2 linked regions of the Struthio camelus genome follow. The protein of the gene in region 1 purifies or fractionates together with the protein of each later gene. This does not show direct contact. Links are inferred from orthologs where the notes say so. Each region holds a gene or a part of one and is shown in the gene's direction. Other genes may lie near its edges. The genes, in order: CDC42BPB and FAM167A.

Region 1 (15,485 bases):
AGAAACTACATGCAGCTGTATGGTTCAGAGCAAAAATTCATTTAAATTAGGCATGTGAATTTGCATCTTAATCATGTTATCATGATTAAGTAGTACCTCAGCGTTACCTGAGGCAACCATAGGCTACACACCTAAATGAAACCTGAAATAGTCAAAACCTTTCTGCTTTACATATATTATGTCAGTGCAGATTTTCACATCCACAGGGCAAAGCATAGATTGGCAAGCAGCATTTTAATGACTGAAAGAGACAGCCTTGCCCAGGACAGGCACCAATTAATAGCAGTAATGATGGCTGCTTTGAAACAATGTATCCTGTTCTTAGGCCATCATAAAATTAAATTTAGTTCTTGTCCTACTCCCAGCAAAATCAATAGCAAAATCTCAGGGACAGCTGGACATCAGTGGATTTCAATGAAGTTATGACAATTTCTCCCAGCTGAAGACCAGCCCTGGGGAGTTTAGCTATTGACACACCAAGTCTCTGCAATTTGCTATTGACTTCAATGAAGCTATGACAGTTTATTGTAGCTCAGGATCTGCTCCCCCTCCTGCTTAATGTCAGGAACAGAAGCAGCATCCAATTAACCATTAATCCTTCTCTCAGAAAAAGCAACCACGACTTCATGCTCTTCTGGGTTGCCCAGCCTGAGCACTCAGCCTGTGGCAATGGCCGCTGAAGAGTCATCATTTTTGCACTTAGAAAAGTCCCTGTTCCCCCATCACAGCTGACAGACTCAGAACAACAAGTAATAATCATGCCAGCTGCCTCCGCTTACATTATATGTCTGCCCTTATATTTCACAAGGGAGAAGGAGCTCTCTGAACTCATGCCTGCTCGGGCAATCCCTCCTTGCTGTTCCTCCCATGGCCCTTGCTTGCTGGCGTACTTCTTCCCAGAGGTTATTGCCTATCGGTACTGTGAGGGAGGGCAGTTGTCATAATCAGTATCAGGTCTTTCTTGCTGAAAACAGGGCTTTGATAAAATATGTGTGATGCAATGAAAGGTGTCTTTGACTTTGTCACACACACCAGTAAACACAGTCTTTCCCCTCACCATGTTAATAGGACTTGCACCCACACTCAAAACAGACAGACTTTTGCATTTTGTAGTCTTTTTTGCAAAATCCAAGTCACAGTGACGTAGCTCATCGCAAATTTAATTTTCAGAACTTCAAGTTGTTCTAAAGTGCAGGGATCAGTTTTTGCGGTGTTCTTTGCAGGGCGGCTAAAAAGAAAACAAGATAGATAAGTGGGAACTGCAGATGGCATTTTATTGTCAGGAATGGTTGAGGTCTGATGACTACAAAGCCAGCTTGAGGCCCATGCAGGACTAGCAGCTGCCTTTTCCTTTTTCTTCACTGAAACTGAAGAGCAAAGCTTGCTGCTGCTCTTTCCAAGGGGTGAACACAGTCCCAAGAGCATCACCAGCCACCATTCAACCTCTGTCTCCGATCAGCGGGCTCACGCCAAGGCCTTGGAGGGCCTCCCTGGTCTTTCATCTCCACTTCCCCTTGATTTCTGCAGGGAGCATGATCTCCACACACCCCTGAAAAGTCCCACTAGCACCTACTGCCCACTCCTACAGCGTCTGCTACCAGAGGACTGCTACCATTGCTAGCCCTGAAGAGGAGGGAGTCCATGTGCAGAACAATAGGGAAGCCAGCCCCCAGGCAGGGAACATGGGGCAGAGGGGGACTGAATGTTTCCCACGGGCTGGAGGGCTGGCGGCTGCTGTGAGGACGGGAGTCAGGCAGGGGCAGCATTCACACTCCCCTTCAGTGCTGAGAAGTGTGGGTCTCCTCTGAATCGCTGTCAATATTGTTATGGATCTTGGTGATCGTTGGCTTAATGTGTGAGACAGAGGGTTTCTGCACAGCTTTGCTGAGACTGGATAAGCCGGAAGACAAAGATAGTAGCATTTGCGAAAATCCAGACTGAGTGCCTCTGGATTTGTAATGCTGCGGCTAAGATCAGCCTCAATCTTGGGTGAAATCTTTGTTCCGTGCAAATGAGTAGGAGTAAAATGTCTTTTTTACACATTGTCAGAAAAATCACCTTGTTTCCAAAGAGGCTGCATCAAACAAAAGATGTTCCTGAATAGTGAGAATGATCAGCAGCAGCCTTTCAGTATATTTGATGCTGAAGTTGGTACAGTTATTTTTGCCAGTGTCCCAGGATACTGTGAACAAATGAAAGCCATTTTGGTCACACTGCTGCTTTTCTGAACAGTGCCTGGCAATTCATAACAGAGATAAGTACCATTAACAGCCATAGACAGTTTGCTAGGTCACCATTACTGAACAAATAAAAGTGGTTTTTGCACAGTAATTCCTGCTGCTTTTTGGCCAGTGTACAACTGCATTTTCCGGAATGCTATTTATGCAGAAATAGATTGGGATATTTTCTGATTTCAACTTCTCATTACCAGAAACTGATTATCAATGGATTCTCCATTGTGGAGAGGGAACCAGGGAAAAAAATACAATAGCACTTGATTTTTATTTTGATTATACATCTTTGAAAATCAAAGAACACTTTGTCAGAGAAGAATGAAGTATGCATTAAAGTAACGTTACTTTAAATGCAAAAATATTTCATTCCAAGCAGGCTAGTTCTTTTCCTCATAGGTAGATTTAGTTGTGCTTATCTCCATGGGAACACTCCTATTAAAGTCAGTGACAGATTTTTAAAGGTTCAGGAGAAAAGACTGGAGAAGTTTTATTTTCATCTCCAGTCATTTCTCCCAAGACATAAAAATAGTAGTAAAATGCAGTATTAATATAAAATGCAATATGAATAACACTGCTACTCTCAGCAACCCAAGAGAACTAATTCTAAATATTAGCTAAGAAAAAAAAAACACATTTTCTATCTATTTTTACATATATCAGCTAAAACTCTTCTTATTCTCTGCAGCAAACGGTACTACCTTCAGGTTGGCTGAACCAGAGCACGAGAGAATCTAGCAAAAAAAAAAAGCACACACAGAAAACAAAATAGATAATCTTAGTACAGCATCAACTCAGGCGCAAAAAATCCCCTCTAGCAACACACTGCTTTTCACACTTTGTACAAAGATTGATCTAACTGAGTCTGGCAGATGTGAACTTGCAATAACATAATACTATTAAATGAGAAAATGGCAGCTATAGACAGCAGGACATGCTACAGCTACTGCAAGATGTCATAATTGTCGACAAGTATTTGGTCTCTGTACCACTGCTTCCACCTCCTCTGAAGATCCCTGAAGTAGCATGTGTCTAAGTTCTTTTCGTTTTGTTTTGCCAGTCTTTTAGCATTATCATGTGCCTAAACAGACTGCATCACTGAGCCAGTGCCTTCCTGGGGATACTGTGGACTTGAAATCAGATCTGAAATAAATTGAGCTGTTGTGTTGCCTAAATATGGCAATGACATTCTGTTCCAGATGTCCACAGCAATGACCTCATCCGAAACCTCAGTTCCCTGACACTTCAGTCATTTTCAGACAAATTCAGGAAAAAAGAACAAGTGGCCCCATACCGATTTTGATAGAAGCAGCTGCCCACTTCAGTTAATGCTACTCTCAACGTGTGAATGGAATGGGAAGCAAGCTAATTTGATGTGATCCATATTGGGCTCCATGTATTAGACTGCCTGCAATCAGGGAACATACCGATCAATAAGACTGAAGGTTTCCTGAAACAGCAGCAAGGAGGCAAGTTTCTTTCTTTCAGGTGGACTTTAAAGAGGCATAAATTATTGAGGAAAAGAACAGTGTTCATAAGACAAATTATTGGGGGGAAAAAACGTGCTTGGGAACCTGACGCATCTAGGCTGGAAGAAGTGAGGGATTAGCATGTTTCTTTGCCTCTGCTGGCAAAGATGCTATGAAACAAACCAGTCAGAAGTGTCTTAAAAGTCTCTACTAATAAATCTACTGATTTTTTTGCTTCTTTGTTTTTTCCGTTTAAGAAAGCATGTACCAAGTGAAAACTCTTTTCTTATTATAGTCTGCCTCACTTGCAGTTCAAAATGTTAGGTTATACTATCGCTAAATTCTAGATAGTTACAGGAATAGAAGCCCTGCCAACAAATGCACTTAATAGCAGAATGCACTTAACAGAAGGTAGCCTGCCAAATGGCTTTGCTTGTCTTTTTTTTTATTATTCTTGTTATGAGAAAGCATTTTAGTGAAAATTGGAAATGAACAGACTCTCAGCCCTTCCCAGCACTTTTCCATGAGCAGCTTCCCTTTCTTTACTCCTACTTCACTCATCATCATGTGCAAGGTCAAGAACATTTGTGAAATCTTCTTGCTAAAACAGTGCAATAGCAGTGAACTGAAGCAGACAGAGCTTTCTGGAAGCTGAAACAGAGCTCTAGCATCCGTTGTCCTACCAAAAGAGCAGAGTTTTTGTCTTCCCTGGGAAATTTTCTATGCAATTCCCATCATTGCTATCATCACATGGTCTCCGATAGTGACTTAGATGCTGCTGTTGTTTTCAATATTGAGTAGGTTAGCTCAATGCTCAAGCTCACATGATGCAATGTTATCAGAGACATCCACCACTGACAAACTATTTTTGGCTTCCAATATGGGCAACAGTTGTAGATTTATACTGCTTTTGGCAAGAGGGAATTTTTTAGAATATTGGCAAAAACAGACAGCGCTGAAAAGGTGAGAGTTTCCTAAAAAATAATTCAAGGAAAGAAATATGATAATAGCAAGAAATAAACCAGTCCTGTTGTTCTGAGGCATGTTTAGCTCTTTCTTATATTCTACCTTTGGAACTCATTACTAGGAGCTTTCTCTGATTTCAACTTACCTATATTTTGGGTTGTAAATCCTTAAAAAAGGTTTTTCTTCCTTTTCTAGAATTACCTGTCTGCCTATGACAAAATAGATATTTGCAAAATCTTCTTCACTCTTTTTTTAGCATGAAGGTTTCCACTGTCAATGGGCTGTTTGCAATTTCTGTCCATACTCTTTCCTATTTCTTTATTCTTCTCAATCCAATAGTGATCTGTGGGTGGATTTTCCTGAAGTCATAAAGCAGTGACACAGCTATTTCCTGTTGCCATCGAAATTCTATAACAGAATTTCTTCCTTTCCTAGTTACTAAGTTACCTGGAGTACAGCCAAAAACAAAAAAAGAGAGACCTGAGATGATTGGATCTGAAAGAACTTTTCCTAGCCATATGGACTTCATGTCTTCAGTTCTGCAAGTCTATAATGATTCCAGAAAATATAAGTGAGAACCCTTTTGCTTACATTTGGTCTCATAAAAAGAGAGTTTTGTAAAATCAGGAAAAGGGGCTGTATTTTTCCACTGAAATATGTCGCAGGAAAAAGGAACTGGTAAGATGGATCATTTAACCCATTTTAGCCAAATCACATTTATTTTTAGTATAGGGAGTAGGCACACGTAACAGAAGCAGAATACCTTAAGTTACATTTTCAAGCTTACATATGTTTTTTAATATGTACTCGGGATGTCACTTTTCAGTGAGGTAAGGTTTTTTGCAACTGTAAACCTTGATCTCAAACCCCAGCATTACTAGCAGCGTACATGACTTTTAAGTCTTTGCAATATTTTTGAAATCTTCCAATTAATTCTGGAACACCTACAGTATCACTAATAAATAATCTTGCATGTGCTGGTCTGATATGCCAAACCTTCCATAGTTGTTAAAGCAGGTCTCAGTATCATCTGTCATCCATCCGTCATTTTCCCAACACAGGACCTGATTCTTCACTGCGACTGCTGTAAGTCAGGAATGGTTCTTGAAATACCTGAATTCTCCTAGTGTAGAATAGACTAGCCAGATTGGAAGCATTAGAGCGAATGGTAGGCAGAAAACTGTTACTTCTTCTTCCAGCTGCAGTTTCCTTTATCATCTCTTCCTTGCTGAAGGAGGTTGTGATAATCACCATCTGCAGGAACAGATAAGAAGGGAAAAGACAGATACTGTATCAGGATCTTTAAAACTCTGCTCTCCTTAGCCATTAATCTGGTCAACTCTTTCTGAAATTGAGTCTCCAAAGCAGTAATAAGTGGAAAACATCAAGCTCTCCTTTTATATAAAGAAGCAGTACCAGAAAAACAATTGCAATTGTTAAAATGCTAAGGGTCCTGCAGATGAATGTATCAGTATCAAGCAGTTTGAGGTAAGACGAACCAACTATAAGCAGGGAGGATCATAGAGGGAGAATAAAGACAACCCCTGTATGTGCTGTGAAATATTTTTCGAAGCAGTTATTTGCGGAAGAAGGAAGTACAAAGGGATAGAAGTCATTTAGGAAGAAAAAAGCTATTTCAGTCCATTGTGGCTTTTCTTTGTTTAAAAATTATAGGTTCTTGGTATAAAAGTATGATTCATAGGACCTTCTATCAAATTGCGGTTTTTAGAATTAACAGGTCCCAACATGCCTATACCTTCTTGATTCAGGTAGTGAGTCCAAATGCCAAATGCACAGCACACAGTCTTATTATGACCTGAATAGCTCTCAGACAGAACAGATATTTCTATGTCAGGTGAAATATCAGACGGAGAGATATCAGAACTGCCTGAGGGGCAAGGGCTCCTAGAAAGAAGTTTTTCTGTAATGCTGTGTTGGACCTCTCCGTCATGCTCTGTGTCATATCGGAAGCAGTACTTTCTGCTGCACATTACTCCATCTCATTCTGTCTAGTTGTGCTCCTGACTACTTGAAAAGGGCAGCTCCCAGTAGGCAGCACTGGTTGGGTTTGGCCTAGCCACTGGCCCTAAAGGTCACAGTTGAGAACATTCAGGTATTTCAACAATTACTGACATGTTACCTCTGACCGTGAAGGACCCATGGTCCCTGATAACTACAACTACCAGCATGCAAACCTCTGTCCAACTCTAGTTCTTGGACATTCCTGACAGTGACAGAACTGGCTCTGAGCGGCCGCTCTTTGTGGCGTGATGATTTTCAGCGTACAGTGCTCTATCTAATCACAAGGGGAGACGAGCAAGGAAAAGGCTTCCTTCCCTGTTTAGTTTTGCATCAGGACCTGACTGGCTGCATTCCTAGAGATGTAAACTCCCATCAAGCTATTGAGTATCTTGCCTTGAGGTGCCACGATCTCCAGAGAAAACAGTTCTCAGAATAAATTGTAATGCCATAAAAAGGCACTGCAGAAAGTTTTGAGTGTCTTACACCAAGCTCCCTTCACCTTCAAGTGAGCGTAGACAGCAGCTGTTAACACAAAGAGCTCCATGTGTCTCGATTAGCTGCTACTCCTAATGCAAGTCAGGTTGGTTTTGAAGGGTGCGTAAAGCCACGGCTTTCAGAGGCACTGTTTCCTACTGTGGTGCCTTGCCTATCCTGCCAGCCTCTCTGCAACTACTGCCAGGGGCCCCCCAAGACAAGTTAAGCAGTAGAGCAAGGAGTTAGCGCAGGGGAAGGGCCTACTCCAGCTGCCGCCTGGAGGCCCCCCCCACCCCAAGTCTGAGGCTGGCTCTGCTGGCGGCTCCACGTGCCCCGAGCGCGTGCTGCCCATCGAGGCCCGAGGGGCAGATCCCAGCGAAGGAGCAAAGGCCCGCAGGGAGCCCTGGGTGGCGCCCATGGGAGCCCACCCGGAGCTGAGGGGCTGCGGCCTGGCACAGTGACCGGCCTGCGGAGGCCCAGAACCATGGCGGGCCACAGCCCACGGGGGAAGCGGAGGGAGGGTGGGGGAGGCCACGGCTCGTGAGAGCTGGGCTGGAGTGAGCAGCTGGAGGCAGCACTCTGGGGTTTGTTGGGGGGGGTCCACTTCGCCTCCAGCCCTCTTGACACCGGCCATAAAGTGGGGGTGTGGGGGGATGCAAGCACGAATCTGCCGAGGCGAACGCGCAGGTTGCGGCCTGCCCCCGCCAAGCGGCGAAAGTGCCGAGGGGGAACCCACAGCCGTTCCTCCCTGCCGGCCCCGCCTCAGGGAGGCGAATCTGCCGAGCCGGTTCCGAGGAGGCGGCAGCCGCGCCGCGCCCTGCTGTGCCACACGCCCGCTCTCTCCCCGCCCCCAACTACGGCGCGGGGCTGGCCCCAATCTTCCTCGCGCTGGCTGCGCGCAGCCCTGCCCACGTCGGTGCGCGCGGACGCTGCGTGGTGGGCGGGGCGCGGGCTCCGGCCGGGGCCGCTCGGTGCCGCCTGCGAGACGCGCGGAGCCGCCGCCGCCGCTGCGGGGCCCTCGCCGGGAGGAGGGGCGGGAGCGGAGCCGCCGCCGGGTGCTCGCTGAGAGGGCCGGAGCGCGAGGCCGGGTCCGGTCCATGGACCGGCCGGGCCCGAGGCGGAGCCCGTGGAAGGAGCCGCTCGGCCGCGGCGCGGCCGTGAGGGGCGAGAGGCGGCGCGGGGCGCGGCGCGGCTGAGCGCGGCCTCCCGCCTGTGTCCGCCGGCTTCGCCGCCGCCCGACCCGGCCCGGCCCGACCCGGCCCGGCCTCCCCCCCCCCCCCCCCCCCCCGCCGCCGCCGCCGCCGCCGCGGCACCATGTCGGCCAAGGTGCGGCTGAAGCGGCTGGAGCAGCTGGTGCTGGACGGGCCGCAGCGGCACGACAGCGTGCTCAGCGTGGAGACCCTGCTCGACCTCCTGGTCGGCGTCTACGCCGAGTGCAGCCGCGACTCGCCGCTGCGCCGCGACCGATACGTCTCCGACTTCCTCGAGTGGGGTGAGCCGCGGCGGGGGCCGGCGCCGGGCCGGTGGGAGGGGAGGGCCGCCCCCCCCCCCGGTGGGGAGGGTTTGTGCTCTCCGGGCGCGGGGCAGCGAGAGCAGGGCAGGGCAGGGCGGCCCGGCCCCGGGCGTGCGCTGCCCGTGGCCGCCGGCGGCCGGGCGGGGTGCGGAGCCGCCGCCCCGGGACGCGGAGCCGCCGCCAGCCGGGCCTGACCCCTGCCGTCCCCTCCCAGCGCCGCTTCGGTCCCAAGCGGGCCGCTTGGCAGCCGGGAACAGGAACAGCACCGAAGTGTCCTTGGCCTGAAAGCCTGCTCGGCTTAACCCGGAACGTCAGGCTAATCCAGCGCCTCCTCAGTGTTTCCTACCTGGGGGAGGGGAGGAGGGGGAAAGCCGAAGGCTCAGACTATGAATACAGCTCTTGTGCCAGATTTGTTGCTGTTAGTTGAGAGGGTGTGCGTGTCTTCGAGGGAAAACAGTTACTGTGCACCATGTATTCTTTTTAGTCTGGGCAGACCCCCGAAGGACAGAGTAGTTCTAGGCAGCCTTTGTAACAGCTTTGTTTAATGGTTTCATAGCATTAAGCAACCTGATAATGAGAAACTTCCAATAGTCAGAGCATGCTGACAAAAAAAAAAACAACCAACCCAACAAAAAAACGTATCCTTGTGATTGTACTTGGGATAAAAGTTTTCTATCCTGTCGCGTTAGTTAAAACTATTGAGTACGGGTATGTGGATAGCAGAGATCTATCTCTGGTGTATGCCTAAATGAATCTGTGTTAAAGTGGTCATGGTGGCTGACAGGTTTATTCAGCTCAGTAGGTTATGAATAATACTTTATGGTGAAGGTGACTTATCTTCTCCATGGAATAAGAATTGGAGGGAAGGGTGGAGAGAGAGAGAGATCATTGCTCACAAGTATATTGTCCCATTTATCAGCTGTTCCATGCACGTACAGTTAATTAGGCTTTTAAAGATCTCTCTCAAAAAACAAAACAAAAGACTTCCTAAGGGAGGGGGAGTGGCCATTTTACTTCAGTAAATGCAAATGTGTGTCTTTAGCGGTACAGACTACTGCCCTAAAACATAGGGACAGCTGGTTCTCCTTAATTTCTGTGGGGACCACCACTCTTTGTCATACGCTAACAAACTAAGAGGATTCACTTCCTGGACTCTTCTATTGACGTCAGTAATGCGATTGCCAACTGAATAATTAACCACTTTATCACATCTGCCCTGAAAGGCTGCAGGCAGGGGAACATTGATTATTTGTTTTGTTGTGGGAGCTTTGTACATCTTCTGCAAAGTGCAATCTGGTTTTATACTCTTATTCTCAATTTGCTGGCTTGAATGAGCAAGCAGCTACAAACTCTTAAATGCTACATATCAGACCAGGATCGTACTTCTAAGTCCTGAAGCTGAGGGAAGGATTTGAGGCAGGCCCAAGGATGATATATTTTTTCTATAGCACTGTTGGTGGCTATGTTTTACAGAGTGATCCCCATGTTGTCATCTTCTGTGTGATGGAGAGGCAGATTATCCAATTGTTTATAAAATTACTTCTTTTAATTCTGTTTAGTGTGTTCACTGAATATGAAAAGGTTACTGACTTGATGAAGAGTATAGCTAGCAGTAAAAATAGTGTGTAGTTCTTACTGCAACGTGGGATTACCCTAATATAACAAAGTGCCTATTCAATAAATAATTTAAATGTATGTGAGCTACCATCTGGTGCTGTAGAGTAGGGATAAAAGTTTATAATCCAGGCCCTTCATGGTAAGGGGATGGGCCTAAGTCTGGACTGCTGTATATTTATGTTCCATCAACAAGGAATCCCCTTAAAAGAAACTGAAGTTGATAGTGTGCATTCCTCCCTTTCCTGCAAGCTGTTAAAAACAAATAAATGCCAACAACAAGACACCTTTTATCTGTGTCCTAATGCCCTCACAGTATGTTTCCACTGACAAGGAACTAGTTTCTGCCTCCAGCTAGTAAGGGAAATACCATGCCAAACATGCTAATCGTCCTCATGTCATGATGTGCAGTCTTAATTACAGTCTGTTTCTCTGTTAGAAGATATTCTGGATTGATGTGCACAAGTTTCTTGTGCTGCTAAGTGTCTGTGGCGGCATGAGATTGCAGTTAAATATTTGGGCTATACTTTGAAGATCAGCATGTTTCTTTATCAACTGGAGACAAAAAGAATTTCCTTTTGACAAAACGGAGACTTATCACTGACAATGGAAATAAACTACGTATAACTCAGCTTAATTTAACCTTAACATAATTAGCATTTCTTTATCATTTTGGATTTACCATTGGGTGTGAGGTATCTCGTACACAAACTTCCCTTAAAATGGTTAAGCGTGGCTAATGGAATTGTTGGCATTCCTAATTGACAAGGGAAAGTAGAGTTCAGGCATGGTGGATGAGGCAGAGGTTTTTCCCGGTTGTGGGAATGCAGATGCAGAAGAGATGTTGAGTTAACGAGTATAGCTGTTGGATGTGGATATTTGCTCGCTGAGACCAGCACACTAGCACTTATATTGTGGAGCAGGAGGGGAATCAAGGAGTGGGAAATTAAGTCCCACGTTACCCTGTGACACTTAGGACAGCTTCTCCGAGTCACAGAACCTCTGTAGAAGCTTTGTGCTTCACCGGCAGAGATTGGTGAGCCAGGAACAGTGGATCTCATAGCTTCTGTCCTGTAAACATAGCTACTGCTTCCTGACAGTCCTGCCACAGGCTTATTTCTTCCAAACTATTCCCTAACCATAGAAGAGTGTAGGGTGTGGCCATTTTCCTCGAGGCAGCCTGTGACTGCCATCTCCTTAGAAATGTAAGGATCTGCCATTTTAACCTTGGCAATTGTAGCTCTGTCATGGTGAATGGAGCTCTCAAATGTACTACGTTTTCCCTGTACTGGAAGTAAAATAAACTTTTTTTTATCCAAGTATCTTTGGAGAAGGGCTAGCTGAGCTGCAAGTTAGGAATTCAAAAGTCCTTTTCTTCCAGTTTGCTTTTATTTATAATCCTTACTGAATAAGGTCTCATCCAACAGATTATCATTATGTTGCTTATATAACAGATATTGAAATAATGCTCAGTATTCTTAGTGGGAATTGAATCCAACTCTCTTGCATAGCAGACTTGCATGTAACCCTAGTCTTCCATGTTCAGAAAGAATTTGCCAACTCTGTGCTTAGTGTTCTCTAGACTGTTGCTACATATGCTGCTCCTAGAGTGAGAAATAGAATAAAGAATCCTCACAGTCCTGTTCTATTTATACTTTCTCATTGCTCTCTGAAAGTTATCACTGAAACTGGGCTGCTACAGCCCTTGTGCCTTTGAAGCGAGACTCCTTGGCCATCTCTGCTGGCCCTTCTGGCCCACTAGGGCTGTCAGGAGAGCAATCTAGCTGCAATCTTGGGAGCTGTTGGGACTGCCTAGCCCTTCTGGTGTACCAGAGAGCCTGTAAAACAATCTGCATGGTCCCAGAGTGTGTGGCAGTACTTCCCTCATCTAAAGCTGACCTAGGTCACTAGTATATACTACATAAAGCTGTCCTGCTGCTCTGGAAGAGACAAGCACAGGGAAGGGTATGTGGCCTTTGGAGTTATCAGATGGATTTTGCTAGCATGCCAGTGCTGGGGTACTGCAGAGTGGTATGATCTTCGCACTGCAGAGGCACCTCCTGAAAGACTCTGCCTGTGAAAGGAGTATGCTCACCCTTGTTTGGCGTGATGAGAAGAGAACTACGCGAATGGTTGACCAGCACGGCTACAGCTCAGGCACCTGTGCATCACCCCTCCTTTGGCTTTCAGATACAGTGCATTCCTCTGAATGGAGCCCCCTGTTCAGTCATGCCAGATGATCTGAATCTCTTATTACCTGGTGCCAGATGTGCTGGAGCCTTAGAATGGCTGCTCACAGGGCACCTTGCTGGCTAACACCGTATGCATGCACATATGACATCACCTTGTTTTACAGGAGCTATTTTTGCTGGCTGTAGCTGGTGCTTACTGCCCTTTTCTTCTAGTGAGCAGAGACTGGCACAACCGGCTGCTCCATTTTTGAACAGCTACTGGCACTGTTCGAGGCTAATATGCAAGAATGTTCAGAGAAGAGTCTGACCAGAATGGGCTTTTATTTGTGTTCAAAATGCTCTTGGTGCTGCATAGACTCTGTTGCTCCAGCCTTTGTTTCCCCTGACCCTGTTTTGTACCGCTGGCACGCTGCAGAGGGCAAGATGGCACGTGTCCCCACATAGTTGCTTCACTGTTGTCTCACTCTTGGGACTATATGATGGCTGGTCTTCTCTGTGAGAACACCTCAAAGCCAATGTCAGACTAGTTTGGGCTGATCTGAAATGTAGTGATTTTTCCTTGAGGTAGGTGCACGGGATACTTCTGTGGACAATTCCTCCAGGTAAGCTAGCGTTCAAACAGATGACTCATAACTTTTCTTCTATATTCTCAGTTTGTCTAAGTCTGCTACTCAGCTGGGCTGGTGTTCTGGTTTTTTGTGAGAGGAACTTACTGTTGGGGGCCTGAAGCTCTGGGGAAGAGGAAGAAGATTGCCAGTGAATGGCATGGATAGGCCAGCTGGGCACCTGCTGCCAGACCCTTGGAGACAGCCTGGCATAATAGACAGTGGATGCTGTAGTGGTAGCAGCAACATATTCCCGCTCGGGGCTAGAGGAGAGAAAAATGTGCAGAGCACTCGCAACAACCTCTCTGGCCTAGCCTCACACTACCGCTTTTGGGGATATACCTATTACATTTGAGACTGGGTGACAGATGGAAAAATCTTGCACAGGAAGTTCACCAGAAAAGTTGCTGCTGTGATGCCTCAATGCAGTGAGTTACAAATTAGTAACTTTGGGTCACTGTAAGGGCTGATACTTAAGGTTTTAGAGCTTGCTGTCGGGGGAGCAAAAACAGGACCCTAACTGAGCTTTGCAAGTAGTTGGCCTACCCCCAAACCACCTTTCTCCTCCCTCTGTTTCTCCTTAAAGAGGCACCTTAACGTTTCAAATGAAAATGGGTCTTGCAGGGTGGTCTTTCCTTGAGAAGAATTTAGAGCCTACATTTTCTCTGTAATCAGTTACATTCAGAAGGTCAATGCTGAGTGCAGATGTGACTGAGAACAGGTCTTTCCAGCTCTGCATTAGAGCGTCTTCAAAACTAGCTGCAGAGTAGACCTTGTCCTCTGACTGCCACAGATGCTGATGTACTATAAAAGCCTACAGGTAAAGGTGGAGGCATGGTGTGTGGCTGAGCATGTTACTGGTATAGAAGACAAAAACCATTCCTAACTATTTTTTGCGATGAACTTAGTGGTGTCAGATTTTGAGGGCTGTTTATGAGGGTTTTTTTTTTGTTGGTAGCCTTTTTGGGTTGCATTAGGAAAAAGTGCCACTTGATAATGCCTTATCTCTTAACTTCATGGTTTGTTAATTTTCAAATTCCTCCCCTTTTACAACCTCCTCCCCTGCCCGCAGAAATGTTCTCAGAAAGCGTCCCCATCCTCTGCTAGCTTGTGTCATATATTTTCTTCTCTGTGCAGGGAAAAGCTGTGCAGTCAGCGATAAGCCTGTTGGGCATAAGAAAGAAGTGAACTTAGCTGGGTAATGAAGAGAGCTGATGAACAAGAGGCTGAATGTCAGCCGGAGTTCCCTGTTCTGCCATCCTCTATCTGCTTTGTCAAAGAATTGCAAAAACTGCCTTATTAGCTTTAATAGAGTTGTAGTCAGGGTTAGTGATCTGAAGGCATGAGGTTCAAAGCTTGTTGCTATATGTGTGATGGACCCTTTGTGGTATCTGTTCTAACGTGTTATTTAAAGGATGAGGCCGTATCTTTTAATACGAGTTTTACTGTAATGTTTTATTTTGTGAAATACTGGTATTGCATGCCAAAATGATATTTTGACAGTGTGAAAGGAATGTGGTTTGGAGGATGAGCTATACATTGGCATATGCTGTTAAAATGACAGCCATCTTAGGCACAGCTTGTCATTTGTCCCATAGAAGGAAGTCAGTATCACTTTTCTCCTGTGGGTAGAATTGCTGATAAATAGTGACTGTCTTTACAGAGCGCTTGAGGAACTGGGTGGTGTGTTTAAGGCCATGACCTATATCTTGTATTTTAACTTTGTTTATATATGAAAAGTCGGGAAGGAGTAGAGAAGTCATTGGTAAATTTATCTTCATATAGAAAAATGTGTGCAGCTAGAAGTCTCTTGTTTGTGGTACGAGATCACTTATAAAATAACAGAAACAATGTTTCATAAGCATCCCATAAATCTAACATTTTTCTGACTTGTTTCTCTTAGAAATGCTCATGATTTTAATATTATTTTTCATAGGTGGTACTACTATCAGCTGAATTTTGCTAAGAAAATTCTTCGTTTAAGTCATTAAAACTTCTGTGGTTGGCACCAGTTATGCGTTATCACTGGAGAGAAACTGCCTGGATGTCGGTTTAGTCAGCAGGTTCAGAGCAATGAACTTTTTATCAGCTGAAGTTGAACTAACCTTTTCTTGCAAATAATTCATATGTGGGAGTAAATCCGTTCTTGTACACCTACTGGAAACAAATGGTTTTAACTGTGAGTCAGAACTGAAAATACTTGTTTCATTAGTGTATTTTATAGCAAGCTAATTTTGCTTTATGATTACATACTGATGTATTGGTTTTTAGAAATGTTGATCTATAACTGAGGTTATTTGGGGCTGTTAAAGTACTTGAGATTCTTCAAACTTGTAAAATCTGCATTTTATGTCTTCTGTAATTTGAGGCAGTTCATGCCAGCTGTTTTGAGATGGGTA
Region 2 (14,946 bases), on another chromosome or scaffold:
TGAGTTATCATGGGCTTATTTAACAGGGTTTGAGGAGCACACCACCTAATCTGAGATAGAAGCGTATGCAAGAACATCCCGTTTTTGATTAAGCAGAACAGGGAAAGTCATTAGAAAAGCATAAAAAGAAAAATCAGTAGCCTCTTTGCAAAAAATTTCACCTAACTATTTCTTGGCTCTTTCCTCCTCCGCCATAAAACTCAGCCCTCAGATGAATTCAGGCCCTGTTTTGGCAGAACAAAGCAAGAATGGGCGAAAAGATTTTTTACAGATTTTTTGGGATCGATATCATTATAATGAGAAAATATGAAATACAGGAAAGAAATCACAAGTTCTACAGACCCCAAGACTTCTTATAAAGGCTACTGAAACCCTGACAAGACGACTGATCAGCATTAATAGAGCATGTTAATGAGGACATATTTGCTGCCCTTCAGCTGTCCATTTTTCTCCTTAATTTCTAGCTGCTTACTTTTCTCCAGTGCGCATGAGTCTGTACTGCCTGTGAGTGCTCTGTATGCAGTAGGAACCCATGCTGCTGATAGCATATGCTCCTTCTCCTGCTTTTGTAGTTACTCACATCCCTTTTTTAGATCTATAATCAACTCAGTCTCACAGCAGCTCAACAAGATAGACAGCAAACATCCCCATTTCACAGATGAGAAAACTAAAGTGCCATGAAGGGCACTGATTTTCCAGATATTCCTGGCCACACAGCATGGAGCAAACACCTGAGATGATCTGAGATGCAAACACCCCGCAATGCTGCAATGACCCTTCCATCCCAGAGATGACACAGTGAACAAGGCAGTTCCTGAATTATCCAGGCTCCAAGCTAGAGCACTTCTTTGATGAGAAGGAAATTTGAGCCAGGACTAAACTACGACCAAGACTGAAAGTTACAGAGGTTTATGTAGACTTTGCGCATCTGAGGATAGGAATTCCCTGAGGGAGAAACAATAAGTCCTTTCTTCCTACTCCAGCTTGCTGGAGGCTTTGTCCACAATTATTAGCATTAACCTGCTGCTGGTTTTATCAGGTGGACTGAAAGAAGTTCTCTGTGGCTGAGAACAAAATGATCATCTCAGATTAAATAAACAGCTCCAAAACTATCCAGCCCATCTGTGGGGCAAAACGAAACAAAGACCTCCAAAGCCAAATGTGCTTCTCTGCAGCATGGGAGTTAAAGCCTCAGCCCTTCTCTGCACCATACGCAGCTGTCAACTCAGCAAGCGTTGCTGAGATCCAGAGTATCCTCCCTTTAAATTCAGAATTGGGGCCCCGATTTCAGTTTTTACCTTATCTTTTCTCCCAAAGGAATTCAGCTAGAAGTTATTCACCTCTTCTATTTAAAGGGCTTTCATGTACTTTCACTCTTGAAGAGAAAGAGGTTATCTGTGCCCAAGAGAAGGGACCCCCGGGTCAGATTCTGACTTAGACCATGGTGGCATCTGAGTAAATCAGTCCCACCTCAGAAAGATCCCTGATTTCAGCATTGAGACACTCTGCCAGAAAGAAAGAAAAAAATGCGCCTGCCCTAATCCATGTCAGCAACATGCCTAATTCTCTTGAACGTCGCACTCCAAATCTTTAAGGGTTTAATTACCTTTGATGCATGGGCAACGGACAGAGTGAGACAAATCTTTAAATGCTCTAAGAGAATGTACTCAGTGAAGCACCGAGAAACAAATACAACCAGCGACAGCAGGAATGAAGCAAAGCTCATAGAAAATCATTTGCACTTACCTAGTGATTCCTTTGTTCAGATTAAATCATAGCACGCTCGATCCCAGTTGTCCACCAGAGTTAAAAAATCCTTTGCCAGGTACGCTCCTCAGAACATAAGGCTTTCTTGATAAGTTTTAATCCTTAAAGCATGTAGAAAGAGAAACCCTAATTCTTCTTGGTGCTGTCGGTCGACTGTTGTTGGTGGTTTCCTGTCGACAACAGCTGAATGACACTTTGAACTGGTTTGTTACACTTACAGCAATTAAGGGCTGGTAGTATAACCACACTGCTTATTTAGAGCTAGTGTTAGAACGGTGGCTACCTTAGAGGAATCGTTACCCACAGAGGTTCAGCAGGCTGTCAAAAGTACTGTCCTTGTAAAAACGATGTCCTAAATCTCTACCATTCAGGCTGGTGCAGGTTGAAAGTCACTACCTGAAGCCACAAGGTGTACAACGGGTCTGAAAATAGGAGGAGAGATTTGGGTCCTTGGTTTTTCTGGACTGGCCCATTCACAACTAACAGCACTCTGGGCCAATAGCAGAAGGAGAGATATTTATTTGATGCGTTTAACCTTTGGGAGAGTTTATCTTCAGCCAGGTTCTAGTCTGAGCAGTTTCCCCTTTTGTAATCATCTAGGTTACGGTGCTGTAATCTTACTCACTTTCCATTTGAGGTTGTGTTTCTGCTAAAAATCTAATCTAAAGAGAGTGTTGAGGTTCTGCTTCAGAGCTGGCTGCATTTCAGCAATGAGAAGACACCTGATGTCATTTAGGGCATCGGGGGATGAGAGGTGCTGCTGATAGCACATCCTAGTATCTCTTTATCTCTTGTATGTTAAGATCTGGCTTGCCTGTGCCTTGTGCAATTTGCTACTTGCAATATTGCAAAAAGCTTTGCCTGGGCTGAGCATCCAGTGCCCCTCTGGAGTTGTAGGCAGGGATCAGCTCAGATCTCATCATGCTGGGTTGTTGTGGTGCCCACAAAGGGTCTTTGGGGTACAGCTTTGCCTCCAGCCTGTGCAGGGCTGTGAAGCTCCACCGCTCTCATCTTCACACCCACCAGCAGAGTTTCAGACTTGCCAGCCCATCTGAAGGCCAGGAAGCTGATGAGTGTCACCTATTGGACACTGTTCACTACTGGAATCACTGCCGGATTTTGGATAAAGTTTATGCTTAATTAAGACAAGCAGAAAGGCACTAGTTCTTTGATTTTGTCTTTGGCGATGACTTGCCTGAAAGAAACACACGGAGAAAATACCACTACTCCCTCCAGGCAACACCCGATGCAAAAAACACCATGTCATTCCTTGACGGTGAGACTCAGGCAGTCTAGTTTCCTGTGGCTGTTTCTCTTGTGGATACTCTGCTGTTCAACAAGCCTCGCTGTGCTCACCGTACAGCTTCTCTAAAGGACTTGGTCTCCTCGCTCCTCTGCTGGGCTGTTGCTTCCAGTGAAACTTTTCAAGACTTTGTATCTTTGAAATATCTTTTCCTCTGCCAAAGTCAGACAGAATTTACCAGAAAGTTTCCAAGTTACCTGGGAAGAGGGACTGGTGGATAGACCAACAATGATGGGATTGATTTGGAAATCCAAAGGAAAAGGGACTAAAAGGTGGAAATCATAATATACCAACCTGCGAAAACAGTGGGAAAGAAATATAGGGGCTAACAGGGAATGAGGACGGTCGAGGTTTAAGAACTGTTCCAAATAGTGGTGAAATATTTACAGCCCCTTGCCTGGTTTCTGGAGCACTTCACAAACCGCCATCTTTCCCCTGCATGCCTGCTCCAGCTCTCTTTACACGCTGGGAACTCACACACAGAAAACTCCAGCTTCTCACTTTCTTGGACCTGCTTTACTCTGAAACAGTCCCCACCACCTTCTGCCAAATTATTCCAAGTTCCCAGCAACCTAAATCCTCCCAACCTTGGCTGCACAGCGCCAAGTCCCGGTAAGTGTCAATTAACCTGTACCATGCTCCAGGCTGCACCTGGATGCTGGGGTGGACAACACTTTGCATGGGAATGAGAACACATGCTCCTTCCTGGCATGCACACATTGTGGCAGAGTGAGGGGAGGGTGCTCAGCATCATCCAGAAATGGAGCAGGGACAAACGCACTGGCCCTAGGGCAGGGGGCTTGCCCGTGCAGTGGGCAGTTTTGTCTGTGTTGCTCAGAAGCCTTATGCCAGCCCAGTCAATAAAAGATACCGCTTAAAGCAAGCTGGTCCAGATTAAACATCAGAGCAATACTGGAAAAGGCCAGAGACTTGATGAGACAAAGCCCTGCCCTCCTTATTGCCCCCAACACATACCAGCAAGGAGGTGATGGTAGATGACCTGCAATCTCTGCAAAGAGCAAGGTGGCACCAAGATCATGGGCCAGGGCTGTGCCACCAAAAACTGCCAGGTCCCAGGCCAAACAGGACCATGAGGACAAAGGCTGTCTGTGAAGACCTGCAGAAGGACCTCAGTGAAACACTGAGCTATGGATGAGGTGTCCCTGTTCACAGTAGCAGCCAGTGTCAGGAGGGAGAAGCACGGCCTTGCACTTGCAGCACACAACCTCACACAGCCCTTGGGTGTGTGGGACAGGGACAAGGGACAGGCCTAACATGACCATCAAAGCCATGTCAAACCAAACCCTGGGGACTTTGGTGTCAAGGACAAACTGGAGGATTTTGGTGATAGATTTGCCAGGGAGAAGGAAGGGACAAACCCATCCTGAACCTCTGGTGGGGGTCTGCTCCTCAGAAGTAGGACAGACAGCGGGAGAAGCTGGAACCAAAGCATCACCCAATACTCTGAGGCTGAGCACTGAAGACCTCGCTGCACTCCTCCGCCCACCTCCACACACCTCCTGTTGCCTTCTCTCTTGGCAATTTCCTGCAGACACGCAATATCACCTCGCGGCTGAGTGGGTGTGAAAGGACACATGAAAGTCTCAGAGCAAAGCCCAACGTTTCAGCACAAAACCACATCGCTGGCACTTTTGACCAAGCTATCTTGCAAACAGAGGCAGCCACGGTGTGGACACACGCTCATTGCTCCGTCCCTTTCCGCAAGGGTGGTGAACTGCAGCGAGACAGCATGTGGGGTGCAAACGGCAAATATCTGGGGGCGTGCGGCTGCTTTGTCCAGCACAGCTAGACTGGGCCTTCTGTCAAAATAATGCTTCTTGCCATGGAAATGCTCCTTTGAAGGCATTATGCTCACATCCCCCAGCCTCCCACGGCCCACTCCTAATCTCCCAGCAATGCAAATGGTAAAGTTTTAGTCCTGCAAACACCAGCAACAAGTCTTACCGGTTTCAGAAGGAGGGAATACAAGGCTAGAGCCCTTTCCGGTCTTGAACAGAGAACCCTCACCACCTTCCTTTTGGAAGCCGTGCCTTTATTGTGACAGAAATTACTCCTGTCTAAACTGGAGCTGTAACAACTCACAAGCCCCTTAGTGTCTGGACATCCCCAGTGAAGCCTTCATGCTGCCCTGCATCTCCAGGAGGATGACAAAACAAAGCTATGACTACACCACTTCGTAACTTCCTTTGCCCTGGGACTCTCCAAGTCTCTCAGAGTCCCTCAGTGATCCAGGAAGACGAACAGCCAGGTGACCATAACCCTCTGCATGCATCTATACTTGCATCTGGGCCCTTGCAGTGACCGTCGATAGCGACAGCATTAACTAGAGACCTGCTGCCCTCTGTAGGTATCTCTGTCACATTTCCAGGTTAACTCGCAGCCAGGTGACCCTCAGGCCATCTCAGACTTTCCCTATGCATGTCCCTGTGCAGGGAGTGGAGGTTGCACCCAGCTAGGATGGACATGGTCAGCCGGAAAGGCACAGTAGCCTTTTCCCCATGTTGGAGACAGCAGTGCCCAGGCAGGCTGATCTCCATGGACTTTGCCTTAGGGAAAAGGCATTTATTCAGTGACTAGATGAAGTGACCATCGATGCTCCTCCAAGATGCTTCCAGCAGGCAGTACCATGAGATGGCCACACTCCCCTGCTGAGAAGGCCAGCTCCTCCAGGCATCACGAGTAGGATGTGTACAAGGAAAAATCACCCCAAAGTCAGGAGCCCGGGCAAGGAGCAGATACTTTAAATCCAAGCTGCACTGAACCACTGTAATTATGCAAAAGGAATGGCCCTCCGGAGCTGCCCATTTCTCTGTGGTGATGTGGAGGTAGTTTAGAGTGTCCAGATGAGATTTAGCTAGAGAGAGATAAGGCAGGTAGGTTTTGCCAGCACATCTGACTTAACAGCATCCAGTGCTGCTCCAAGCTCCTATGGCATGGGAGATTTAGGTTCCCAGGAGAGTCTGGGATCTGCAGCAGGGAATTCCCAACCTGAGATTTGCAAATCACAGCCTAGCAAGGATCCAGGCTTGTATGAAAGTGCTCCCAAGGATTGAAGCGTAGTCTGGAAAAAGTGCTCTGCCCAGGGATGCTGAGGAACTTAGTTCCCGGATCTGGCAGCTTTTCCAGGTCTGAATACATCAGAAAGGTCTCTCTGTTTCCAAGTCAAGGAGAAAAAATCAAGCGTCCGGGTAGGGACTGCTTTAGCATCACCTAGGTTTATTTTTACTCACTGGAGGCATTGTGGGAAATTCACATCTGCACTGCTGGGGCACCAGCAGCAGCACCGAGAAACGCCCAGTTTGCTGACAGCGTTTCCTCCCCTAAAATATCACTCAGTGCTGAGCCCATGTGGGTTTTTGTTGGATGAAGGGGGCACCGAGCAGCAGAGAGACGTGGCTATGGACTCATCACACCTAATTTCTGGTGTTTATTGCAGGCAACTGGGGTTCAAGACTTGTGTCTAAGTGCATTTTGGTGGAAGGAGAGACTTCAGAGAAACTTGACTGCAGCCTTTCATTAGTGTCTTTTGGCAGCTCATTCGAAACCCATTACACAATTAAATTAAAAATAAACATTTACAGAAGAGGAAGAGGGTGACAGTGTGTGGTCTGTTGCTGTGATGATATAGATGTCCAGCCTTGGTAGCAACACCTCTGCTAGTAAACTAATCTGTGCCAGGCCTGGTCTCTGGCCCTGAGGCCAGCTAGCCCTGTCTGGCCACATCCGTGCTATAAAACACTCTCAGCTATCAAAACAGGATGGCTGCATCCAAAACTGTCTGTTGGGAATGTGGTCTTGCCTTGCAAACTCCTGAACCATGCCCAGGGACTGTTTGGCCAGGGTCAAAACCAGGCCAGGGATTGTGTTTCACCAGGTTCCCATGCCTATACCCGTTCACTGACACTTTGGTTCATTGGCATGGACCCAGTCTGTGGTTTGATGAGATGTCGCAGGAAATGCTGAACCATGCACTTACCATTAAGAGCTTAAATGCAGCTATAGGTCTGCATTAGAAGGTTTTAATATGAAGGAACAGCTCTTCCATCTCCTTATTCCATCTTAACCACCACTAGCCCTGGGAAGGGCAGGTGAAAGCCTTCAGACAACTGCCTGCAACACAGCTTTCTGAGAGCTAATCAGCAGAATGAGTTTGCATATGAATATCTGAAATTTCACAGAATCATAGAATCACAGAATGGTTGAGGTTGGAAGGGACCTCTGGAGATCGTCTAGTCCAACCCCCCCTGCTCAGGCAAGGTCCTCTAGAGCATATTTCCCAGGATCACATCCAGACGGGTTTTGAATATCTCCAGGGAAAGAGACTCCACCACCTCTCTGGACAACCTGTGCCAGTGCTCGGTCACTCTCACTGGAAAGACGTTTTTCCTCATGTTCAGACAGAACTTCCTGTGTTGCAGTTTGTGCCTGTTACCTCTTGTCCTGTCACTGGGCATCACGGAGAAGAGTCTGGCCCCATCCTCTCGACACCCTCCCTTCAGATACTTACACACATTGATCAGATCCCCCTGAGCCTTCTCTTCTCCAGGCTGAGCAGGCCCAGCTCTTTCAGCCTCTCCTCATAGAAAAGATGCTCCGGTCCCTTAATCATCTTAGTAGTCCTTTGATGGACTCTTTTTTTTTTCCCCCCCCCCCACAAAAAGGGTGCTGTCCAAGCGGAAAAAAAAAACACATTTGCATCAGAAATATGAACGACTGTAAACACTACTCTTCATTCTTCTAACTTTGCATTCCTGCATCTCTCAGGCCGCCCATTTCCTGCTGAGCTAGGTGCTGTACAAAGTCTCCACATCACTGGGGTGCTCTGGGAAACCACCAGTCTTGCTGCCATTTGAAAGGAGGTCTCTCCTGTTCCAGGTGGCTTTGGAAATCCTGGCCCTCCACAGGGTGTTGCAAGGCCCTTGTTGAGATCCTGAACTCAGAAGGTTGGAAATCTCTCTCTGCTGCCCATGGAGGAGAGGAGGGACAATTTAGGCAGGAGAAAGGGTGCGTTAAAAAAAGGAGGCAGTATATGGGTATCATCTCTCACAAAAGCTTAATGTGGAAATGGGTGTGGAAGGACTGATAGCCAACATTTAACCCTTGGCACCACTCAGTTCACAAGTACAACCAGTTGCCCTGAGACTCAGTACGCTAGATGTGCACTAACCACACTTGGGGACTGATGTATGCGCTGATTTTGAGAGCCATCCCCAGGCTTCAAGGGGTTAATCTTTAGCCTGTGATAAAGGGATGAAACCCACTCTAACCCCTGAGAGTGGGGGTTAGAAGTAGGGCCCATAGTCAGCAACCTGCTGGGACATGTGGCTGTATTGGTCCCTCCTCAGAAGCAGCCAAAATGGTTTCTAGCCACCCTGGGGAGATGTGGGAGCAACAGGCACTTTCCAAAAGACAGTCAAAGGCTGCTTTCCATGCGTGAAAACACTTGACACTATTTTGACAGGCTGGCTTCTCCCTGGCTACCCCTTGATACTCACCTGCCAGCCCAGAGCTTTGAACACCTTGCTGGAGATGCTCATCCATCCTTGCAAAAACACCCCCATCGCTCCCTGCCCTGCATGCAAACGCTGACCTTTTGGCGAGCTGTAGTGTCTGTAAAACATTAGCCAAAAGCTCTCCCCGGTGCCAGAGGTCCCTGCGCTTTTTTTTCGGAGAACAGCTCACAACTATCCATTGCGTGCAGCAGGGACAGCCGCATGGATGCTAGCTCAGCTCACTCCGGGAGGAGCCTTTCCTACAAAAGCCATGGATTTCTCGGCACTCTGGGGGCACCTCCAGTGAGCCTTTGAGTCCCTGCCATCGATGTCGGTGGAGAGCACCCCCTCAGCCTGGGTAGTCACGGTGGTGAGGGCATCTCTACCCTTTCTCCCTCCTCGGGATCCCGCAAGGCAGCTGAGTCGGAGGATGTTTAGGACCCAGGCTGCACGGCTCCTCCCTTTCAGGTCTCTTCAGGGTTATTGCTTGGTGGGAGGTAGGTTCAGGGCTTGATGGCATGAATGAAAGAGAGACAGGAAATCTGGACTGAAAAGCTCAAACTGGAATAGCTCGCTTGTCTCCAGGCAACAGGCCTGACGCAACCGCTGGGGGAAAAAAAAAGTCTCTTAAATAAAAAAACACACACAGAGAGATTTCTGAAGCGAGACAGAGACAAGGATGAGACAGTCTCCTGGAGGCACTGGTGACACTGCTTTGCAAATACCAAGTTGGAGACTCGAAGACGAAGCAGCGAGTCAAGATGTCCGTGGAATATTCCCTGTGACTCGGTCCCCGGTAAGTTTGTTTCTCGCATTGGCTCAGCCATGCTGGGTCTGGGGTGAAGCACAGCCTAGTGGGGACGCGTGGGTGAATCCAGGACGAGAGCTGTCTGAGAGCCATCTCGGCAGGGGAGGGACACCAAGCTTTTCTAGTCTAGTGGAAACTGGTAGCAGGAAGGACCTGGTCCCTGGGGAGCACCTGGATGGAGGCGATGGGGACCCCCTGCCCTGCGAAGTTCAGTACCGGGCTTGGCCATGCCTCTTCCTATGCGTTAGGGCTGGGGGTTTCATTGTCCTCCTAGTCACAATCTCCTGCCTTCCCTCAAGATGTCCCACACTGTGGCATACCGCTGATGGGGACGGGCTGGGAATCTGGGCAGGATGTGATCTCCCTGGCAGTGCTCTCAGCTGAGAGGTGTAGGGCTACCTCACCACCTTCAGGGGAATTTTTCTGCACTAGCTGGGGTGTAACGAGGCAGAGTCTGGCCCTGGTTGGGGACATTCACCTGTTGCTCCCTCTGCCCCCTCTCCAAGATGAGCGGGAGCCCTAGAAGGGTTCATTGGCTTGTTCAAAGCAGACATAATGGGATAAAGCATGGTGGCCTTGCAGGGCGTAGCTGCCTTCAATTTTTGAAACAGGCACTGTGTGTTTGAGCAGAGCAGGTTTCCACCCGCTCAGGTCTGGCCCTTGCAGCTCATGCTAGCACTGAGGGGGAAAAAAAAAACCAAAACATCCAGAACTTCTTCAGAGCCCTTTATAACAGCTTGGGGCTGATTACTAAAATAACACTGTCAGCCCACACCCCTCCCTGTGCACACACTTGTGCAACCCCAGCCAGTGCACCTTGTGCAACGCACCCCCCCTTGCACGAGACATTGCACTTGCACAAAAGCACACCGTTCAGCCCGCACCCTTTCGAATCCAGACGGGGACACCTCTCCCACAGTTCCCACTGGCGCAGGGCTAAGGAGACCTCTCCCTATTTTTCTGTGATGCTCCCAGTAGTATTCGGCACTGTTCTGCCCTTCTGAGCTTTTCTGCGTTAGGTACCTTGTTGCGGGGGGTGGGGGGGGGGGCGTGAAACAAATGAAAACCCAGTGTCTTTTTCCAACGAGGGCAGCTGTGTCTGGCTGGTGCCACATTACCACAGCTTTGTCTGCTCATTCCCAGTATCTTATGGATTTGCCACTTTTCAGGGGGAACGAGCTCATTCTGGCTGTTGTGGGTCTCCTCCCTACCAGCCGTCATTTCGACATGCTGGTCCTGTCGCTTTTATTTGCGTTTCAGATCTCCTCCACTTTCAAATGCCCATTGCAATGTTACCTCTTCAGGAGGATCTGTACGACACAAAAAAAAAAAAAAACAAAAAGGGAGGAATCTGGCTTCTCCCGTGCTCTGGGCTTGTAACAGCTCCGCAGCCATTAGGTGTTTGCAAAATCTAGCAGAGAGGCACTGCAGAAAGAACAAATCAGCCTCATAGTAATTTGGCCTTTTGCAGGGGGAGGGATTGGGGGTCTGCTTGCTAGTAGCTCGTATTGGATAAAATAAGTAATAAAAAAGCGTAAGTCACATCAGCATTGCAAGCACCTGGGAGAAGGCAGGTCTGAGTACAGTGCTTGGACGATTAGCACCCGGGCAGCTGCTAAAGCGAGTAATTGGATGGGACAGGGAGCGTGTAAAGGGGATTAGGGGATCGCCAGGGGGCTGACCCCCGTCCCCTGATCACTTTAACTTGAAGCCTGGGGGCCTCAAGTGGGCACTGGCCCCTGATGCTGCATGGGCTTGAGGGGGCTCAGCGCTGGCAGAATGAAGCCTAGCAAAGCCAGAAAGTATTTTTCTCCTAAAATATACCCTTCAGCCTGCTGCCTTTCATGCTGCATTTAGGGAAAAATAACTCCATGTGGCAGTCTCCTGGGAAGAGAGCATTTCTCAGCCTAATCTGGCTCATTCCCAAGGAGTCACAGCCCTTTGAATTACCCTGGTGGCACTGGTACAGAGGTCTGACTGCCTGCTCTGCCTGCTCTTTCCGCTGGTAAAACACAGCTACGTTTGGGGTGGCAGCAGGGAAAAGAGGGGAAGGAAGTGGCTCTGACAAATCACAGGTCCTTCAGGGGCATTTTGGGGGGCAGGTTAGGCCTGCCCTCTACACGATTAGCTCCCAAGACCTGCTGGGACCCTGGGGCAGCGTACGGAAAAGCAACCCCTGCTCCCAGTCCCTGACTCTTGCTGTGCTTCAACCGGCCTTGCCAGAAGATGGCTAGCATGGATAGGGTCTCTTCACCAAGAAGGTGTCAACTGGCCAGTTCTGCTGCTGTTTAATTGCTTTCCTCTTAAGATAATTATCCCTTTTTTCGGACGATGGGCTGAGAGTCAGTGCTGCCCCTCTCTTCGTAGACAAAGGCTGGGCAGAATCCCCAGCTGCTGCGATATCTCCCAGTTTGCCAACGTTTCCCACTCGCTGGAGGACTGCCTTGTAGGAATGCCAAAAATCTGGCAGTGCCTGGGTCATCTTCAGTCTGGATTTCCATCCGACTGCTGGAAATCTGCTGACTGAGGAGAGCTGGACGAGTGTGAAAGTGAAGCTGTCAGGGTCCATCAGAAGCAGACACCAATCTCAGTCTGTTTCCTTGATGGAGCCTGCTCGGGTTTTGTGTGGCAGAGGCGGCAGGGATCAGCTGTAGCTAGGCAGGAAGGGACAGATATATTTATCGAATCAGGTTCTGACACTATCACTGAGGATTGAGACCAGTGTGGAAAAAATAACTTAGGGCAAGGAGCACAAACTAATCGCTGCTGCCGTCAGCATCTGGAGTCACAGGGCCTGCGTGTGCCTAGGTCTGGCCCAGGGTGGTCTCTGACCCTTGAGGGGACAGGACACGTGCTCTGAGAGCTGCTTGAGCAAACTCTGCCTTTTTTGTCCTCGGGGCCTCTCTGCATTCGCAGCCTGCTCTGCCTCCCCAGGCTCTTGGGGAGAACAGGGGCTGCACGGCGCAATGCCAGTGTGGCCATGGACCGTTGTCCACTTCAGCAGGGTTGAGGAGGGGTGTCACAGCTGCAGACTGTGTCTGCAGGACAGGGACAGTCCCCTCACCTTCCTCCCGATGCCTCTTCGCACCTCCGCTGTGCTTCTCGTCAGTCAGATAGACTGGATGCAGTCCCCCCACTGCTCACCCCTGCTCTCTTCCTTGCGTTGGTTGGGTTTTTGTGTTTTTTCCAGGGGCAGTATGGGCAGAAAGAAGTGCTGGGCAGGGGGTAGCCTCACCTACTACAGGTCATACATGAATGGAAAGCCCCACTTCTTCCCCCTCGTCCCCGTGAATCTGGGAATGGTGCAACCTAGAAGTGTGTCCCCGCTGCTCACCTTAGCATCTGAGTTGTCTGGGAGGTCCTTGGGTTTTATTCATGACAATAGATTTACAGCAATAGCCAGCTGCACTCAGGATCCCATTAAATTAGGTGCTTTATCAGTGTCTCAACACTCAGGGCTATGATGTAACCACCTCATAAAACCAGCCCCAGGGCCTCACATTGTGGATCAACACAGGGACGGAAACTCAGCTCACAGCGAGGCCACTTAAGGTCAGTTTGGAAGCTGTCTCTACATATGTCTAATACTAGTAAATACAACACTGCCAGGACTTGGGCATGGGCATTTGGTCAGCTCTACTACCCAAATGTTAGCACGGTCCCTGCCGTGGTCTGGCCCCGGCTAAATAGTGTTGCTGACTGGGTCGGTAGCAAGAAATTCTCTCACTCTCCTGAGCAGGGTGCCTACATTCAACCTGCTTATTTGGGTTAGTGTTAGTTGGCTTGCACCAAAACTGCACTGCACGGACACAGAGAGACAGCACTCGGGTCTCCCCCTGGGCTTTTTTAATGTATGAGGCTGGAAGTCAGGTCTGTCTATTTGTGAAGGGACACAGCTAGCCTAGTAGCCCTCAAGGAGGCCTGAAGGCAGAGTCGCTAGATCAGAACCTGCATTTCACTTTACTCATGCTTACGGGGCCTGACTTAGGTGTGTTTGTCTTGCCCCTAGAAGAAGGGCCAAGGCTCAAATGCAGCTGAAGATGGCTCAGAGGTGGCCAGAGACAGGCCAGCAGGCACCAGTGCTGAGCAGAGGACTCTCCCATGATCTTCCACAGCCCCCCTTGCTCCCGCATACCCCTCATTGGCTTCCCCCTGGATCCTCATCCCTGCCAGAAGGTTCCCAGTCCTCCCTCTGCTGGCACAGGGGGATCAGGCCTAGGCAGTTTGTTGGTGGAGACCTCCAAAATGTCCTTCCCAAGTGAGGTTTGGGAACATGATGGATGATGGGAAGGGGACAACACGAATATGAGGGCACTCTCCTCAGCATGAGTGCTTAGCAAGGGCACTTCCCTGGGCACCTGCTTCCCTGGGCAGGTGAAGGCAAGACCAAACTCCAAGTTGGATTCAGGATTTGGCTGCCCACAGCTGATGCCATGAGCATCCCTGTCTGTCCCGTCCCTGTGCTGTGCTGACCAGGCTGAGAGCATCTGATCCTGAGGGCAATGATTTCATCAGGGGCTTCTGTTCTGGAAGGAGTCCTGGCTTCAGGATCAGGCTCCTGGAGTGACCAGTTTTTCTGGCATCGTCTCCTTTTGTGGGGAGGGAGGCTGAAAGTCACTTAAGGACAAGCAAGAAGGGCATTTGGGAACCAGATCAGTTTTCTGCAGGAGCATATTTCAGGTGCTACAGAAATGGATCGAGTAGCCCTAAACGCACCAGAGTCCACACTGCGTAACCGCTCACCTCCTCAGGGAGGTCATTTTGGTGTGGGGAAAGGAACTATTCAAAAGCAGCATCCTTGCATGGAAGCCACCGGCTCCAGAGACCCGATGTGTGGGCCTGGCCTGGCTATCTCCTTACCTTGTTCAGGTCCCCAGGGCCTCGGCATTGCTGCTGCCCGGAGGATGCTCTGGAGCCCCACCTCGCTGTGTGCAGCAGCCGAGGAGGCAGTGGTGGATCTGGAGCCCTCCCTACTCCATTGCTATGGCAACCCCCTTGCAAAGGCGTCTCCTCCTCCCTGCCCTCTGCCAACCTGCTGCAGACCTGCAGGGTCCTGGCTCCCAGCTGCCCTCGGCATGATGCTTGTGCAGCCAAGCCAGCACTGGTTAAGCAGTAAGGCAGCGCCGGGGAGAAGGAGATAGGCTGAATACCCGTCGCTGTCCCCTCTTTATACCTCTAAGTCAAATGTGCACCTGGACTGGCCACTCTTGCTTGTGAAAAGGGAGTTGAATCACCAGTTGTTCACCTGCTGCTGCTGGAGAGTATATCCAGGTACCTGATTATTCCCTACTCTGTTACCCCACAAGAGTCAGCCATCTCCACTATCCCCATCTCTTAGGCTTCTGGAAGGAAGGCAAACTCTACTCTCGCCACACTAGGCATACACACACTGCACCGTGCCAGTCCCCCATCTCTCGGCTCCACCTCATTATTTCTTTGGGCTGCTGTTTCAGCCGCAGGGTCTTCCTCACTCAAAAGGACCTGAGGCTGAAGGTCGTCAGATGTCTCCATCCCAGTTGGTCCCCTTAACCTGCCCCACAAACGTGGAAGAACCT

What was found.
Region 2: the proteins of CDC42BPB (region 1) and FAM167A purify together in Homo sapiens (co-immunoprecipitation; 3 studies listed by BioGRID and IntAct, counting the BioPlex papers as one, with this or other methods). This does not show direct contact. The link is inferred for Struthio camelus from reciprocal best matches to the Homo sapiens genes CDC42BPB and FAM167A.

The regions. Positions count from the first base shown.
Region 1 is NC_090946.1:71,917,373-71,932,857, reverse strand, and holds the start of CDC42BPB (serine/threonine-protein kinase MRCK beta), read left to right. Parts: upstream 1-8,248; 5' UTR 8,249-8,476; coding exon 8,477-8,654; intron 8,655-15,485. UniProt on the Homo sapiens protein: Serine/threonine-protein kinase which is an important downstream effector of CDC42 and plays a role in the regulation of cytoskeleton reorganization and cell migration. Regulates actin cytoskeletal reorganization via phosphorylation of PPP1R12C and MYL9/MLC2.
Region 2 is NC_090944.1:10,998,476-11,013,421, reverse strand, and holds the start of FAM167A (protein FAM167A), read left to right. Parts: upstream 1-8,781; 5' UTR 8,782-9,379; intron 9,380-14,946.